3 linked regions of the Nothobranchius furzeri genome follow. The protein of the gene in region 3 purifies or fractionates together with the protein of the main gene of each other region. This does not show direct contact. Links are inferred from orthologs where the notes say so. Each region holds a gene or a part of one and is shown on either strand. Other genes may lie near its edges.

Region 1 (4,823 bases), on a different chromosome or scaffold from region 3:
TGACTAAAGCTGGGCCTTTAAAACAATGTTTCTTTAACTCTAGTAACTATTTATCACTTTTACACAAAAACATCGTCCCAAAAACACCTCCTGTAACCTGAGGAGTAGGGGTGCACTGGTATCAAATACTATTATTGCTGTTGAGATGATTGATGTCACCTGACCAGACAAATACCACTCGACCTACACCTTCCTGAAACAGATACACAAACATCAGTTGTTAATATACGCCCAGCTTACGATATGTTAAAAATGACCAACGTTGGTCGGTGCTGCACATCACTATCAGAACACTATTACCCAAATCTGTTAAATCAAACTTAACAGGCTTCAGTCAGCTTATTCCCCAGATTAAAAATCCACATCATGCCCACCCCGTCTCATCTGTGGACAGATCGCACTCCTGTCCACTCAGACCAGATGAGACAGCTCTCTGAGACGAACCCGTGATTCCAGTAGAGCGTAAACACCTCAGAGGAACGATCCCAGTTGAACAGGAGCTCATAAAAAATGTTAACCACGAGCTGCTCGTTTTTACCAACTTGCTGCTCGCTGTTTGGCGCAGACACACAATAATCTTCTCGTTGGTGATTTTCCACGAATAAAACTTGCTGTAAAATGATCATTTAAGAGCTTCCTCCTCTCACCTTCCCTGGTGGGATCTGTCCATCTCTGACCATCTGCAGGAGGGGTTTCAGCTCATCCTTCAGTTCAGTGAGCTGCACAAGTCACACAAAACAACATGTCACCGTCTAAAAGTTCATGACTTGTACAGCTGCGCTGTCAGTGTTCCTGTCTGACCTTTGCCCTGAAGTCCTGAATGAGTTCAAGCAGCTCTGGGGATTCCTTTTTTAAAAGCTTCATTTTCTCCTTCTGAGACATCTGCTTTAAGTCTTTCACAATCCTCTCCTGCTTTTCCACCGGCTTGCTTTCATCCTTGTCCTTCGCAGCAAACTCCTTCAAAAGGTGACCAGATTGAAAAGAATCAGTTATTATGTTATACTTTACTGTAAGCAAACAAAACAAATTAAATAAAAAAATACCTGAAAAAAGCTCAAATCATAATCTTCCTCGCTCAGAGTCGCTGCCAAACGTTTCTGGATACTTATCGCCTCTTCTTCTTCCTCCTGCTCCTCCACCTCCAACTCTTCCCGTGGTTTCCCTTCTGTGATGGCAGGAATAAAAGGTTGGGTGTGTAAATATCAGTCCTGCGTGGGATTAAAGCAAACCCAACGAACAGAGGTAAAAGATGCGTACTGGTAGCAACGTAATCAGAGTCGTAGAACATTTTCTTTCTGGTGCCCCACGCCATCTCATTGGGAAGATCTGAGGATGACAAGACAAAATTAAATAATATCAGTGATTAAAGCAAGCTTAAAAACAACCGTGGACTCGCCTTCTTCCTTTTTTTCCTCCAGGTCACTCTCCATATCTGTCCCATCATCCTTGTTTTCCTCCTCCTCTTCTTCTGTTTCTGAATCATCAAGAGCCATCACCTCCTCCTGGGAAATTTAGACAAAACTTCTGTTTCTTCTAAAAACATTTTAATTTTAACCCTAAATAAACAGAAACCAAAATACCTCATCATCCAGCTCCTCTTCGTCACTCTCCATTTGAACGCCACGGGCGAGAAGTTTCTGTGACACCACAGAAGAAAATATTCAATACACAAAACAACCACATTGTTCTCAAGGATTAAAATAGGAGAACTTACAGCTATTTTCTCATCGTGAAACTCATCGATTTTGTCTTTTATGAACTCTAAAGACTTCTGTAAAAGAGAGAAGACACTGAAAACTTGATCTGGAGAATAATCATACCTGGAAAAAGCATTTTAAGTGCAGAACTGGGAGGAAAACTTCACATTTGCACTGTTATTCCTTTCATAAAAAGCGTAATTGAATAAACAAAACGTTTTGGTCCATTATTCTTTTTTAGATCAATGGTTTGTCTTTTCATTCAAAATTAAGAACCATTTTAAAGAGCAAGTCAACCCCTACCAGAGTCTAACTCCACTCCTGCTTCATGTTTGAAAAATGCAACACATGCTGTTGCCTGGCAGACCGAGAGGGCGGAGCCGCTAACAAATACACACACACTCAGGCTCACGACAGCATTGTGACATCATAATGTACCAGTTTACATCATAGCATACTTCTTAGCCAATAGCGGTGGCAGATTTAAATTAAAATACAGTGCAGAGTTTTTACCTGACAACGGCACAACACTGCCAGTTTTAGGCAGAATATTTAAATTTTAACTAAGATGCACTGAAGTGCCAAATTATTGACGACACGTGTCTGCAGCACGATTAGACACTCGTTTATTTAGTTTATCAGCAAAAAAAAGTTTATTTGGGGGTGACTTGCTCTTTAAGTAGATGAAATAATTCTATATTTATTAGTTACCTTATCAGGAACAGGCATTTTTCTGTAGGCTTCAGGGTCATCGTCGTCATATTGTTGCTTCGTCTGAGGCCTTCGGGTTTGTTTCCTCCTGTAAAGAAAAAAAGTCACCATCGGGTGCATTTGCAGCCTTTTATTTGACGTTGTTTTTGTTTTGTATTTACTTTCATCCAAATTCCATTTTTGGTTCTTTTTAAAACACATATAAAGTTTTTCCAAAGAAAACCTGGGTTCAAATCTAAAGGAAACCTTTATTTGTGTTTAAAAAAGAACCAAAAATGGAATTTGAAGACAAACATAGCAAGAACGTACAAAATATTACTTTCATCCAGTTATTAAAGGCTAGGAGGTAAATTAACCAGTAATCGCTTTAACTAAACCCACCTTGTAGCTCGAACCATGACTGCAGCAACCCGAGTTCTTCAACTACTTTAAAAACAAACGCAAAAAGGCTCAAATCAATCAATTCAAACAAAAGTTAAGAAATATGTTCAGTCACAGTAATGTTGACGCCATGTGCTTCCGTGATTCTTCTTCTCTGGTTGAAAAACACGCACACCGCCACCTACCGAGCAGGAGCGTAATTGTTTATTTTTTAGTTTGTAAATAAAATAAATAAAATCCTGCCACCTGAAAACATTAATTTAAAAATATTAAACATGCATTTTTTTTAAATGTTTTTCCTAGACAAAATAGTTTTGTTCTAAAGAATTTCACGAATGAGCAAATATTTAATAAAAAATTTTCATGAAAAAAGTTTATTATTCATTACTGGAAAAGAAAATTACCTTTATTTCTTTTCTAATTTTTTAATCTTTAAAATGTATTAAAAATTTTGTTAGAATATGAAAACAGTAAAAATTGTTTTTGATGATTTGACTATTAAATTCAATTCAATTCAAATTTATTTATATAGCGCCAAATCACGACAAGAGTCGTCTCAAGGCACTTCACATAATAAACATTCCAATTCACAGTTCATTACCAAAAAATAAAAACGTTTTACAGAAAGTAGCAGTGCTTCACAATACAACAGAATAAAAGGGAAAACATAAACAATTTTAATAAAATAGAAAAAGTTTATATCAAAGGCAATCAAAATTTTAAAATTAACAAAATATTCACTAACATCTAAAGGTCCATCTTTTCTTAATCTGATGTAAAACTTGCAATAAAACATTTTTAAAATGTAGTTTATTTCACATTTGAGCCATGACTACTTGTAAAAAATAATCCATCTGAGTTTAAATCAGTCCTGAGGAATTACTTTGAGTCCTGGAGAACCTGAGAATAGTTTTACAATGAAATAACATACTGAGGAGTGTGTAGTTGGCAAATGTATCAATGATTTTTTTTAAATGACGGTTTAATCATGAGTTATGAGTCATTTCATTTCCTTGACGTAGGAGCTGCAAAGCAGCATTTGGTACCACACGTGAAAGATTTGTCTCAGCCGATATGGCTTCTATAACACATTTGATTATTCTTTCATTTAAAGGTGTGGATCACTTTAAAACCAGTTTAATTATTATTTCTGATTAAAATTAGTCATGAGTTTTTCATACTGGCTGAACATGAAAATAGTCTCCTACACTTTTGTCTTGCATTTGCTTGTGATAGAAAACAGATGGTGAAACTGTAGGATTTGAAAAGCCTGATAGCTCTACGTCAGCTGGTAACTTGGACTCACCCATTTTGGCTCACGACGGGGAAGGCTGTTGTTGTTTTAGCGTCCAGGAAACAGCATTGAACATCTCGGCAAGCATAAGCTACCTGTTAGCATTAGAAACTCAACCACATGCAGAACTCCTCCAGTTTGTATTTGAGGATATAAAACATTAACGTTTCAAAGCAAACTGAATCAGTGGTAGAGTTGCTTTGCTGTTAGTCAATCAGAGGTGAGATATTCAAATATTAGGAAATAAAACCCCAAATCCTGCTGTCTGCTGCCACTCATGGGCCCAATCCCAATACTTGCACTACCACATTGCACCCGATTCTTAAGTTCAGAAGTTGATCACGCACCCTTTTGCACCCTTGATCTGCAGTCTGCATCGATGCAGACTTAGAAGAAGGGCCGTCGTCGTCTTCCTCCGCTTATCCGGGTCCGGGTCGCGGGGGCAGCATCCCAATAGGGAGCTCCAGACCGTCCTCTCCCCGGCCTTCTCCACCAGCTCCTCCGGCAGGACCCCAAGGCATTCCCAGACCAGATTGGAGATGTAACCTCTCCAACGTGTCCTGGGTCGACCTGGGGGCCTCCTGCCGGCAGGACATGCCCGAAACACCTCCCCGGGGAGGCGTTCAGGAGGCATCCTGACCAGATGCCCAAACCACTTCAACTGGCTCCTTTCGATCCAGAGGAGCAGCGGTTCTACTCCGAGTCCCTCCCGAATGCTCAAGCTCCTCACCCTATCTCTA
Region 2 (5,002 bases), on a different chromosome or scaffold from region 3:
GACCCAGGAGCTGTTTGGAAACATCTTTGACTCCACAGTGACCGTAATCAAATTCGGCCTCAGCCACGTGAGTGTTGACCCGCTCGTGGTAAACCTGTGTGCTGGTGTAAGCGTCCCCATTGCGATAGCGCGTGACCTGACGAGTTCGGCGAACATAGTGGTAGCTGATGGCCTTCCACCAGATGCAAGGCTTAGCTTGCTGCATCCTCTGAATGCGCTCGCAGATGCCCTCCACGTCCACTTTGTGCTGCAACTCGTTCTTCACGTGACAGTGCCAGCACTCCACCAGGTACACCAGGTAGAGCATGCCCAGCAGGGCCAAAGGGATGTAGATGTAGCCGTCAGAACAGGGGCTGTCGTGGTACATCATGGATTTCCCTTTGAAGGCGCTGTCGAAGGTGAGGCGCGTCACCTTGGTGACGGTACACCAGACCATCGCTCCCATGCAGCCGTACATGAGGACGGACAGGAGAAGACATTTCCAGAAACTCTCCCGACAAAACGACTTGCTCAGGGATTGTTTCAGCGGTCTTTGCTGTTGCAAAAAAATAAAAAGAGGAAGTGGTTGAGAAATGTTAGAAAACATTCTTTGGCATCACATTTAAAGGCATTAATAAAAGCAAGTGGTCTAACACGATTTCCTGCAAAACAACGTTTAAAGGGGTGTGAAGCAAGAACGGAAAAATGACACCCTGTGGTTACGTTAGGGTACGTCAGTCCATTTCACTCTTTCGCTCCCGTTGCATGACTCGTGGCTGTGGCGAGTTACGGGTCAGCACCAGAGGGCTGTAGATGACGAGCCAAGACGATTCAGAAACACGAAGTTGATAAGTAGATAAATACATTTATTTCACTGTAATACGAGCTGTTGGTAATTGAAAAAGTAGCTTGATGTATTTTTTGATTTGTTTCTAATTTACTGTTAGCATTGTTAGCTCAACGTTAGCCTCTAGCCTGCTTCACCCAAGTTTAGAGTAAAAAAATAACGTTGTGGCTTCTTAGCGGTACAAGAAATAACTTCTGGGTCACTCCTTTTTACTGGCTTAGGATCTTCGGACAACTCTGGAGCTTTTTGTCAGCCGGTGTAAGCCAACAAATGCGGGAACGCTCAGCATTTATAGACCCAGCTATCCCAGATTGTACACAAAGACATCTTTGGCCATTTAGAAAGGAGAAAAACTCCCATCTGTGCCTGTTATGCTCTTCTTTTTTGTAAATATTGGTCTGATTGTGGTAAATTATCACTATTTGGCAGTTTAAGTTCATTTCTTGTGTTTTGAGGTTCTGCTTTTTGCACGTTATTCTGCTGATTTGTGCACGCTAAAGGAATTTTTTTTCATTTTTGTGCTACACCTTGCATTCCCAGAATCACTACAAGTTATTTTTATTGTATTTTATAGAGAAGCGTTTTAATTGTCATAAAGTAAATGTGCTGTTTAACAGCAGAACCAGTAAGGAATGAAAGAAGGCTCCCCGTCTGCATCAAACCCACTAAGGCAGGATTACACATCGTGGCATGTCTCTAATAGCTGTTAGTCAAGTGTGACTGCTGAGCTCCAGGCCCTGCTGCAGCAGATGAAAGGTGACAGGCTGTCCGGATAATCACGGGTCTTCTGGGGTCAGCATCATTAGATCATTTAGATAAACCATAAAACAGACTAGTGCGTAAACATCTTTGAAAAACACCGCGAGCTCGTGCAGTCTGCACGCGCAGCGCGCCTTTGGACACATTTAAGCACTGCGACAACAGAAACGGTCTCTACCTCCTCCCTGCTGTCTTCCTCGAACACGGTGGTGGTCGTGCTGCTTTCAGTCGCCGGGGCCGCCGACGCTGGAGGAGACATGGTGCCGGGCTGCTATTGACAACAATGATGGGGCGTGGAGATGGAGGAAGAAGGAGAGAGGATGAGGAGGAGGAGGTTTCTCCACCTTTTTCTGCCTCTGCAGCGTCTCTCATCCCAGACGAGCCGCCGCGTTACATCTATCATTTCATTCTGACGGGACTCGATGAAACCCGGGAAAATTGGACCATTCTGGTGGAGGGGAAGAGGGAAGTCTTCAGAAAGTCTCCCCCCTGCTGGAGCGTTTCCCCAGCCCTCAGTGCCGCAGTGAAAGGATGGAGAAGCGAAACCCGCTGCGGCGCTCCGGGTCCGCGGTGCTGATGGAGCAGGTGAGCCGTTGGTGCGTAAAGCTGACACTCTCCCACTGGGGCTTGAGATAATAAACAAGACGTATAATAATAATAATAATAATAATAATAATAATGATGATGATGATGATAATAATAATAATAATAATGATGGTGATAATAATAATAATAATAATAATGATGATGATGATAATAATAATAATGATGATGATGATGATAATAATAATGATAATAATGATAATAATAATAATAATAATAATAATGATGATGATGATGATGATGACACTAATAATGATGATAATAATAATAATAATAATATTAATGATAATAATAATAATGACGATGATGATAATGATGATGATGATGATAATAATAATAATGATGATGATGATGATGATGATGACACTAATAATGATGATAATAATAATAATAATAATATTAATGATAATAATAATAATGACGATGATGACGATGATGACGATGATGATAATGATGATGATGATGATAATAATAATAATAATAATGATGATGATGATGACAATAATAATGATGACGATGATGATGATGATGATGATGATGATAATAATAATAATAATATTGATGAGTCATAAATAAGTCATAAGCGGCCGAAATGAGTCTCCTCCGTAGGGTGGCCGGGCTCAGCCTTAGAGATAGGGTGAGGAGCTCGGACATTCGGGAGGGACTCGGAGTAGAACCGCTGCTCCTCCGGATCGAAAGGAGCCAGTTGAGGTGGTTTGGGCATCTGGTCAGGATGCCTCCTGGACGCCTCCCTGGGGAGGTGTTTCGGGCATGTCCTGCCGGCAGAAGGCCCCCGGGTCGACCCAGGACACGTTGGAGAGGTTACATCTCCAATCTGGTCCGGGAACGCCTTGGGGTCCTGCCGGAGGAGCTGGTGGAGAAGGCCAGGGAGAGGACGGCCTGGAGCTCCCTAATTGGGATGCTGCCCCCGCGACCCGGACCCGGATAAGCGGAGGAAGACGAAGACAAACGAAGACATAAATAACATTTTCCAAGTGGCTACAGGTAAGATAAACTTATGAACAATTTCCCCTCATTCCAAAGTTTTTTCCTGCAGTTCTTTAGCTTTCCGAAGAAATGCCTTTTATTTATTAATTCATTGATCTCTAACAGTCATCATTAGTTTTAGTTTCAATTTCTGCAAGTCTCATATGAAAGTTGGGTTTAATGTTTCTGGGAATACCTTGGGAACATTCCCTAAAGATTACATAATTTAACAGTTCAAATATGTTTTGGGAACATTCCCCAAATGTAATTTTTGTCATGACTTTGTAACGCTGAGGGAACATTGAAAAGGCTTGAGTTAACATAACAGGACTGTAATCTCTCAAAAGCATTTCCTAAATGTTCCCTTTATTTTCCCTGAAGACTGCAATTCCGGACAATCCACGAAAGATTCCTCGAAGATTACAAAGTGTAGCCTTTTGAGTACACTTCCGGAGTGTTCCCTGTTTGTCCTCCATTTGTAAAGTCATGATTTGTTTTAGTCCACAAACAACATTCCCTGAATGTCACAAGGTTATTTTCAGACCATTCAGGGAACATTCCTGAAATCCATATTGTGAAAGTTTGTGCTAAAGGTCAGGAAAAGTTTTCTTCAGGTAAATGTTCCCTAAAATTTCTCTAAATGCTGTCATTAATTTATAGCCCTCATTTGCTGAATTTTATGGTTTAAACGGTAAAGCAGGGAAGCTCGGGAACATGCCCTGAAGGTCAGACTGGGATTCAGGGAAGTTTCACTGAAATGAAAAACGACAGCAGTTTTCATGGTGGTGTGGTTGGTGCCTCCTGGTTTTCTCTTTGAGGAGTTTCACACCAAGCCAGAACTCACCGGAGGGAATACGTTATGCTCTCTGGGAATACTTTGGAGTTCTGTAGGAGAAACTTGTTTGGTTTTAAAGGGATGTGTCAGTTTCCTTCTTCCCAAATAGGAAAACAGGATCAACAAAGCAGAAATCTTCCAGGAAATGAAAATGAAGGTTTATTCAAGGTTTATGAAGTGCATCCAATCTGAACCTGATTACAAAAGTTTAACAAAAACATTAACGAGGGACTTTCCGACAAATATCAAAATCACACGACATTCCCGTTTAAACTGGTATTTTATAAAAAATCTTATAAAAACTTCTTTTGTGTCTCTGAGCTCTGAGGAAACTTCTTCAGCAGATTACGACGTTTACACGAGTCAGAAGATGTGATTTAACTGAACTTCTAGTGAATCTTTGTTGTTATGGTGACAGTAAATGAATATTTGTGGAGGTCAGATTCTACCAAAAAGACACAGAAAACACAATAAATAATGTTTCTGAATAACAAATAAAATCTTTCTATTGATTTGATGCTCACAATCGGACTTTGTTTGTGTCGTCATCTCATTAAACAACAAATTTGAATATTGTGTCTGAAACTTTTGATCATTGGGTTAGTTTTGATGGCAGAAGCACTCTTCCTTAACAACCAGACTTCCTGGATACTTGTGACTCCTTCTCCTTGGAGGTGTTCCTTACTCCTTGTCCCAGGGCCACCTTCTCTGACGAGATCCCTTCAACCAAAAGGATTGATCTTTTTTATTCCCCCCACAAACACAAAGCTGAGATGTTTAGAGAGTTTGGAGAGAACTTACCGAGTACATATTGGAGAGGTTGTTGAAGAGCACCTGTCCTGCGCTCACCTTGTTCCTCACCCCGCGGATCGTCCCGTTCTTGCTGCAGATGTTGATCCTCTTGTTGGTGAACAGCATCTCTCTCTTGGCACTGGCGTATAAAAGCAGGTCATCGGGTTCGCCGCCGTTCTCGTCCGCAGCAGCCTGCAGCC
Region 3 (4,711 bases):
GACAGCAACAGCTCTCCTATATTCCAGTTAGAATTGACAAAGCTCCTCAGACGAGAAGTGAAACGACTCCAAGAAACCTAAGAGGTCCAGCTGCCTTTTGGATCACCATGACCTGTAAGACCGAGTGAGAACCTTCACCAGCATAAACCATCAGTGGGTGGAGCTAAAGCTGCGTTCGAGGTAAACGGGTACAAACACGCGCGGCCATGTTAGAGTTACAGACTGGTTTCTGTGTGAGCACGACAGGAGCAACTTACAGCTTTTCTAACAGGTGGTGCGTACTCTGAGCTCTGAAGCCATCCTTCTCATCCAGGTCTCGAATCTTCTGAGCCAGATTTCTGATGCTGCGACTCAGCTTGTTGTACCTGAGCAAAATAAATAGGGTTTAAAGCTCCTCTAGCAGAAATGTTCAGCCAGGGTAGCGCTGCCGTAAACACCACCACTCCAGGCTGCTGCTGCAGGTTGTGCCCATGCCAAGTTTAGCACTCGGTTAGCTAAACGTTTCTATTTAACTTCATTTAAGCATCCAGCATCAAATTAAAAAGATCAGGAAAAACAGACATAATAGGGACGCACGTTTCCCAAAACATTTTTAACCGGTTATTGAAGCCCATAAAGGTTCCATATCCTGCTATTTTAAACCACTGAGAGCAAAGGTAGACACAGTACATCATAATATACTACCATTAGTACTATGTTTATGTATTTAGCAGACGCTTTTGTCCAACGCGACTTACAAGTGATAATCGGCATGTTGCCCTTGAGGCTAACAACAACAACAACAACTTGACATCAGTCATGGAGAGGAGGGAACAAGGAGTGGACAGTAGAGAGGGGGGGACGGGTGCAGGGAGGGTGCTAGTTTAGAAGATGCTCTCTGAAGAGCAGGGTCTTCAGGAGTTTCTTGAAAATTGAAAAGGAAGCCCCTGTTCTGGTAGTGCTTGGTAGGTCATTCCACATTTGTGGAACGATGCATGAGAAGAGTCTGGATTGTCCTGAGCGTGGTGTAGGCACTGCTAGCCGACCATCCTGTGATGACCGGAGCGGCCGGGCCGAGACGTAAGCCTTTGCAAGAGGATTCAGGTAGATGGGAGCCGTACCGTCTCGGACTTTGTATGCTAGTGTTAGCAATTTGAATTTGATGCGTGCTGCTAGCGGTAGCCAGTGGAGCTCAATGAACAGAGGGGTGACGTGTGCTCTTTTTGGCTGATTGAAGACCAGACGCGCCGCTGCGTTCTGGACCATCTGAACAGGTCTGACAGTCCAGGCTGGAAGACCAGTTAGAAGGGCGTTGCAGTAATCGAGGCGGGAGATGACAGTAGATTGCACCAGGAGCTGGGTGGCATGTTATGTTAGGTATGGTCTGATCTTTCGTATGTTATACAGCGCAAAGCGGCATGAACGAGCAACAGAGGCAACGTGATCTTTAAAGGTCAGGTGTTCATCAATCACAACACCCAGATTTCCAACTGCCTTTGAAGGAGCCAGAGATAGGAAGTCATTCTGGATTGAGACATTGTGCTGTATGGATGCTGTACTGCTGAGATGTCATTTATCTTATAAACGAGTCATTTTCGTCACCCTGAATTTACACCCGGAAATGAAATGGTTAATTTTTGGCAAAGCTCTGCCCACGCCCGCTCCGACAAAACACGCCTACAATAGTGTGTTAGGTGAGGTGCTGATGTACGGCCGTAATTCTAAGTGTGGAGAAAACCAGACACAGCAAATGAGTCAATGCATGGTTAACCGTAAACACCCCCCCCCCCCCCCCCCAGGCAAAATTCGTGAGTTTGGTTTACACTCAAAAATAAAACAAGGAACAAGTTCAGGAATGATCGTTAAATGAACTTGTTTGGGTACATCGTTAATTCTGATGTGACATTTATATATATATATATATATAGTGAAAATTGTCATTGACAAATTTGATTGCACTTTATTTCGAAATGCCACATCACATCTTTATGAAAGTCGGGGAGGATGTAGTACTCAATGTGTACTGTAATACTGAAGTGGAATGATGTAGCGCAATCAAACTGTTTTTAGAGAAAGAAACCATTGAATATGGGGAAAATTGTCTTTATAGTCAACTTTGATTGCACTTTATTTTGAAATACCACATCAGATCTTTATGAACATTGGGGAGGACATAGTACTTGATGGGTTTTACCTTGCCAACAATTTTACAAAAAAAAAGAAGGGATGTTTAAATTGTGTTTATTCTTTTAATTAAAAGTATTTTTAAATAAATAAAAAAACGCAGTTTTATCTTGCACGCAATTTTACAAAAAGAGTTTAAATCATGTTTATTCTTTTCAATTAAAGAATTTTTTAATCAAAAATCATTAAAAAACGCTGTTTTATCTTGCACACAAATTTACCCACAATAAACGTTTAAATCGTGTTCATTCTTTTAATTATAAGTATTTTTAAATAGATCAAATCATTAACAACACTGTTGCACACAAATTTACAGAAAAAGGGAACCCTTTGATGCATGAATTATGAAATCTTCAACCATGATTTTTTAAACAATTTTTTTCATTCATCTTTAGGTGTGAATGAAACAAACTTCAACAAACATTTAATCATTTACAAATAATTTATTACATGTCCACCTCAGTGGACAGCGTGCTTTCTGAACATTAGCGTTAAATTAGCTTCATACAGTCTGTGATTTAACGAGTGAACACTGTCTAAACTATCTAATTATATAAAGATAAATATCAGGTAGGTTTAGCAGCTAGCTTACTTCATGTAGTCCTCCCGCTTCTCGATATGATACCTCCGCAGCACCTTGACCTCGTGAAGGTTGTTGTCCACCTCCCAGTTAATAAAGTCCACCTTCTTCAGCAGCTTCTGCTCATGGTGTTTCAATTTACGAACCATTTCTACTGTTTATTAGCGGCTTGCCAACTGCAGCTACTCAAACCGGAAACACGTGTTCTTCTGTGGCTTCTTCTGGATTTTTATTGGCGGTTGACAAACAACAAGATGGCGCATTACTGCCACCAAGCGGTGTGAACGAAAGAAAGAAAACTGTCTTTTATAGCGAAATTTAAAATATGAAAAACATTTATTGAAATTATTTAAAGACATGTTTAAGATTAGAAAAAAACAATTATGATTTAAAAATGTAAGAAAACAGAGAGAAAATTAATAGGAAAGATGGACGTCCATGAGGGTGTTCTGACTATCCCTGCTTCCTCGTGGAATATTCCTACTGCATCATGTTACGACAGTTTTGCTCTTGTTTACAGTATAATAACGCACTTATTAAGCACGTTTTATTTTAAATAGGTAATATTACTCAAAAATACAGAACTGTAGTATAATTATTAGCAACAATTTACAATGTTTGTCGTGATTTTTTTATGAAAAAGACAGTTTGTCATGAATGATGGTAAACTATGGGAGAAATTACTTCACAGTATAATGATATTTTACAAGCTGTCAGGTAAACCTACAACAAGCAGAAACTTCCAGAGGTAGCGCGTCTCTTTAGGGAAACAGCCTGTGATCGGTCTGTGCATGTGCATTTCCCCAAAGTAGCACATATCAACGAGTAGCATGGTTAGTTGGAACACTGAGAAGGGCGTAATGGGTATAAAGAGCAGAATAAGGAGAGGGTGGTGATGAAGGTCACGCAAAAGCCTGAACAGGTGAGTCTTCAGCTGCTTTTTGAAGGAGACCACTGAGTCCACTGATCTCAGGCGCAGGGGGAGAGAGGTCCAGAGTCTGGGGGCCACAGCAGCAGATGATCTGTCACCTTTGACCTTTAGCCTGGTGCTGCACAACCAGTAGGCTTTGATCACTGGACCTCAGGGACCTGCTGGGGGTGTAGGGACTAAGAAGATCACCAATGTAAGATGGTGCTTGTCCATGTAAGGCCCTGTAGACCAGGGGTCTCATATATCAAGCTTGCTTACGTACAAAACAGGGTCAGAAAACGGAGAAGTCTGAGGGCAAAACATCTCCGTCCGTGCGTCTCTCCCTCGGGACGCTGAGGGAGAAGCATGAATTAGGCTTTAGAGGCTGCAGGAACGTCTGAGGAAAGTTTATTCAAGTGATCTCAAACTTGTCTTCTGTTGTTGTGCAGCAGAGGAAGTAAATGCTCAGAACCGCGTCTTGAGCTGGACCTTTGCAGCAGCATTGGGGTTAGGGTTTGTTAGAGGTGGGAGTAAATGCTTCCTGGAAAAGGCATTAGCTTAGCTGAAACGGTTCTCCAACAATCATAGAAATTAGCTTTGGACCCACTTTGAACTTTAATCTGACTTTTTTCAACATATTTTCATGTTTTAACAACACTGTCAAATGACTGGGAGTAATGATTGATGAAGCTCTAAGCTGGAAATCACATATAGGCTATATAAAAGGTAAAATGGCCAAAGTCGTTGCAGTATTATATAGTGTAAAGTTTGTACTAAATAGTGAAGGATTGTTATTACTATACAATGCACTGATTCTGCCATACTTAAATTATTGTGTAGAAATCTGGGGAACTGCATATAGAACGTATACACAACCTTTGTTTGTTTTGCAGAAAAGAGCAATGAGAATTATAGACAACACTCATAGTACAGCTCCATCTAAGCCATTATTTATAAAATATAAAGTAATTAAATTTCATGATTTGGTCAACTGGAGAATATTGCATATAATGTATAAAGCAAATAAAGGTACATTGCCAAAGAATATTCAGCATATA

The links. Proteins that work in one complex are often made in the same cells at the same time.
Region 1: the proteins of imp3 (region 3) and utp3 purify together in Homo sapiens (affinity purification with mass spectrometry; 3 studies listed by BioGRID and IntAct, with this or other methods). This does not show direct contact. The link is inferred for Nothobranchius furzeri from reciprocal best matches to the Homo sapiens genes IMP3 and UTP3.
Region 2: the proteins of imp3 (region 3) and utp25 purify together in Homo sapiens (affinity purification with mass spectrometry; 3 studies listed by BioGRID and IntAct, with this or other methods). This does not show direct contact. The link is inferred for Nothobranchius furzeri from reciprocal best matches to the Homo sapiens genes IMP3 and UTP25.

What each region holds. Positions count from the first base shown.
Region 1 is NC_091743.1:64,230,408-64,235,230, reverse strand, and holds the start of utp3 (something about silencing protein 10), read right to left. Parts: upstream 2,951-4,823; 5' UTR 2,807-2,950; coding exon 2,790-2,806; intron 2,497-2,789; coding exon 2,409-2,496; intron 1,772-2,408; coding exon 1,715-1,771; intron 1,638-1,714; coding exon 1,581-1,637; intron 1,503-1,580; coding exon 1,397-1,502; intron 1,327-1,396; coding exon 1,258-1,326; intron 1,166-1,257; coding exon 1,044-1,165; intron 958-1,043; coding exon 802-957; intron 720-801; coding exon 648-719; intron 1-647. UniProt on the Homo sapiens protein: Essential for gene silencing: has a role in the structure of silenced chromatin. Plays a role in the developing brain. Part of the small subunit (SSU) processome, first precursor of the small eukaryotic ribosomal subunit.
Region 2 is NC_091758.1:40,769,627-40,774,628, reverse strand, and holds the start of utp25 (U3 small nucleolar RNA-associated protein 25 homolog), read left to right. Parts: upstream 1-2,052; 5' UTR 2,053-2,116; coding exon 2,117-2,181; intron 2,182-3,129; exon of another isoform or gene 3,130-4,691; coding exon of another isoform or gene 4,692-4,730; intron 4,731-4,811; coding exon of another isoform or gene 4,812-5,002. Other genes in the region: transmembrane protein 151B, read right to left, coding at 1-535, 1,764-1,844; grxcr1b (glutaredoxin domain-containing cysteine-rich protein 1), read right to left, coding at 4,692-4,730, 4,812-5,002. UniProt on the Homo sapiens protein: Component of the ribosomal small subunit processome for the biogenesis of ribosomes, functions in pre-ribosomal RNA (pre-rRNA) processing. Essential for embryonic development in part through the regulation of p53 pathway.
Region 3 is NC_091751.1:70,487,176-70,491,886, forward strand, and holds the start of imp3 (U3 small nucleolar ribonucleoprotein protein IMP3), read right to left. Parts: upstream 3,115-4,711; 5' UTR 2,893-3,114; coding exon 2,756-2,892; intron 366-2,755; coding exon 258-365; intron 1-257. UniProt on the Homo sapiens protein: Component of the 60-80S U3 small nucleolar ribonucleoprotein (U3 snoRNP). Required for the early cleavages during pre-18S ribosomal RNA processing. Part of the small subunit (SSU) processome, first precursor of the small eukaryotic ribosomal subunit.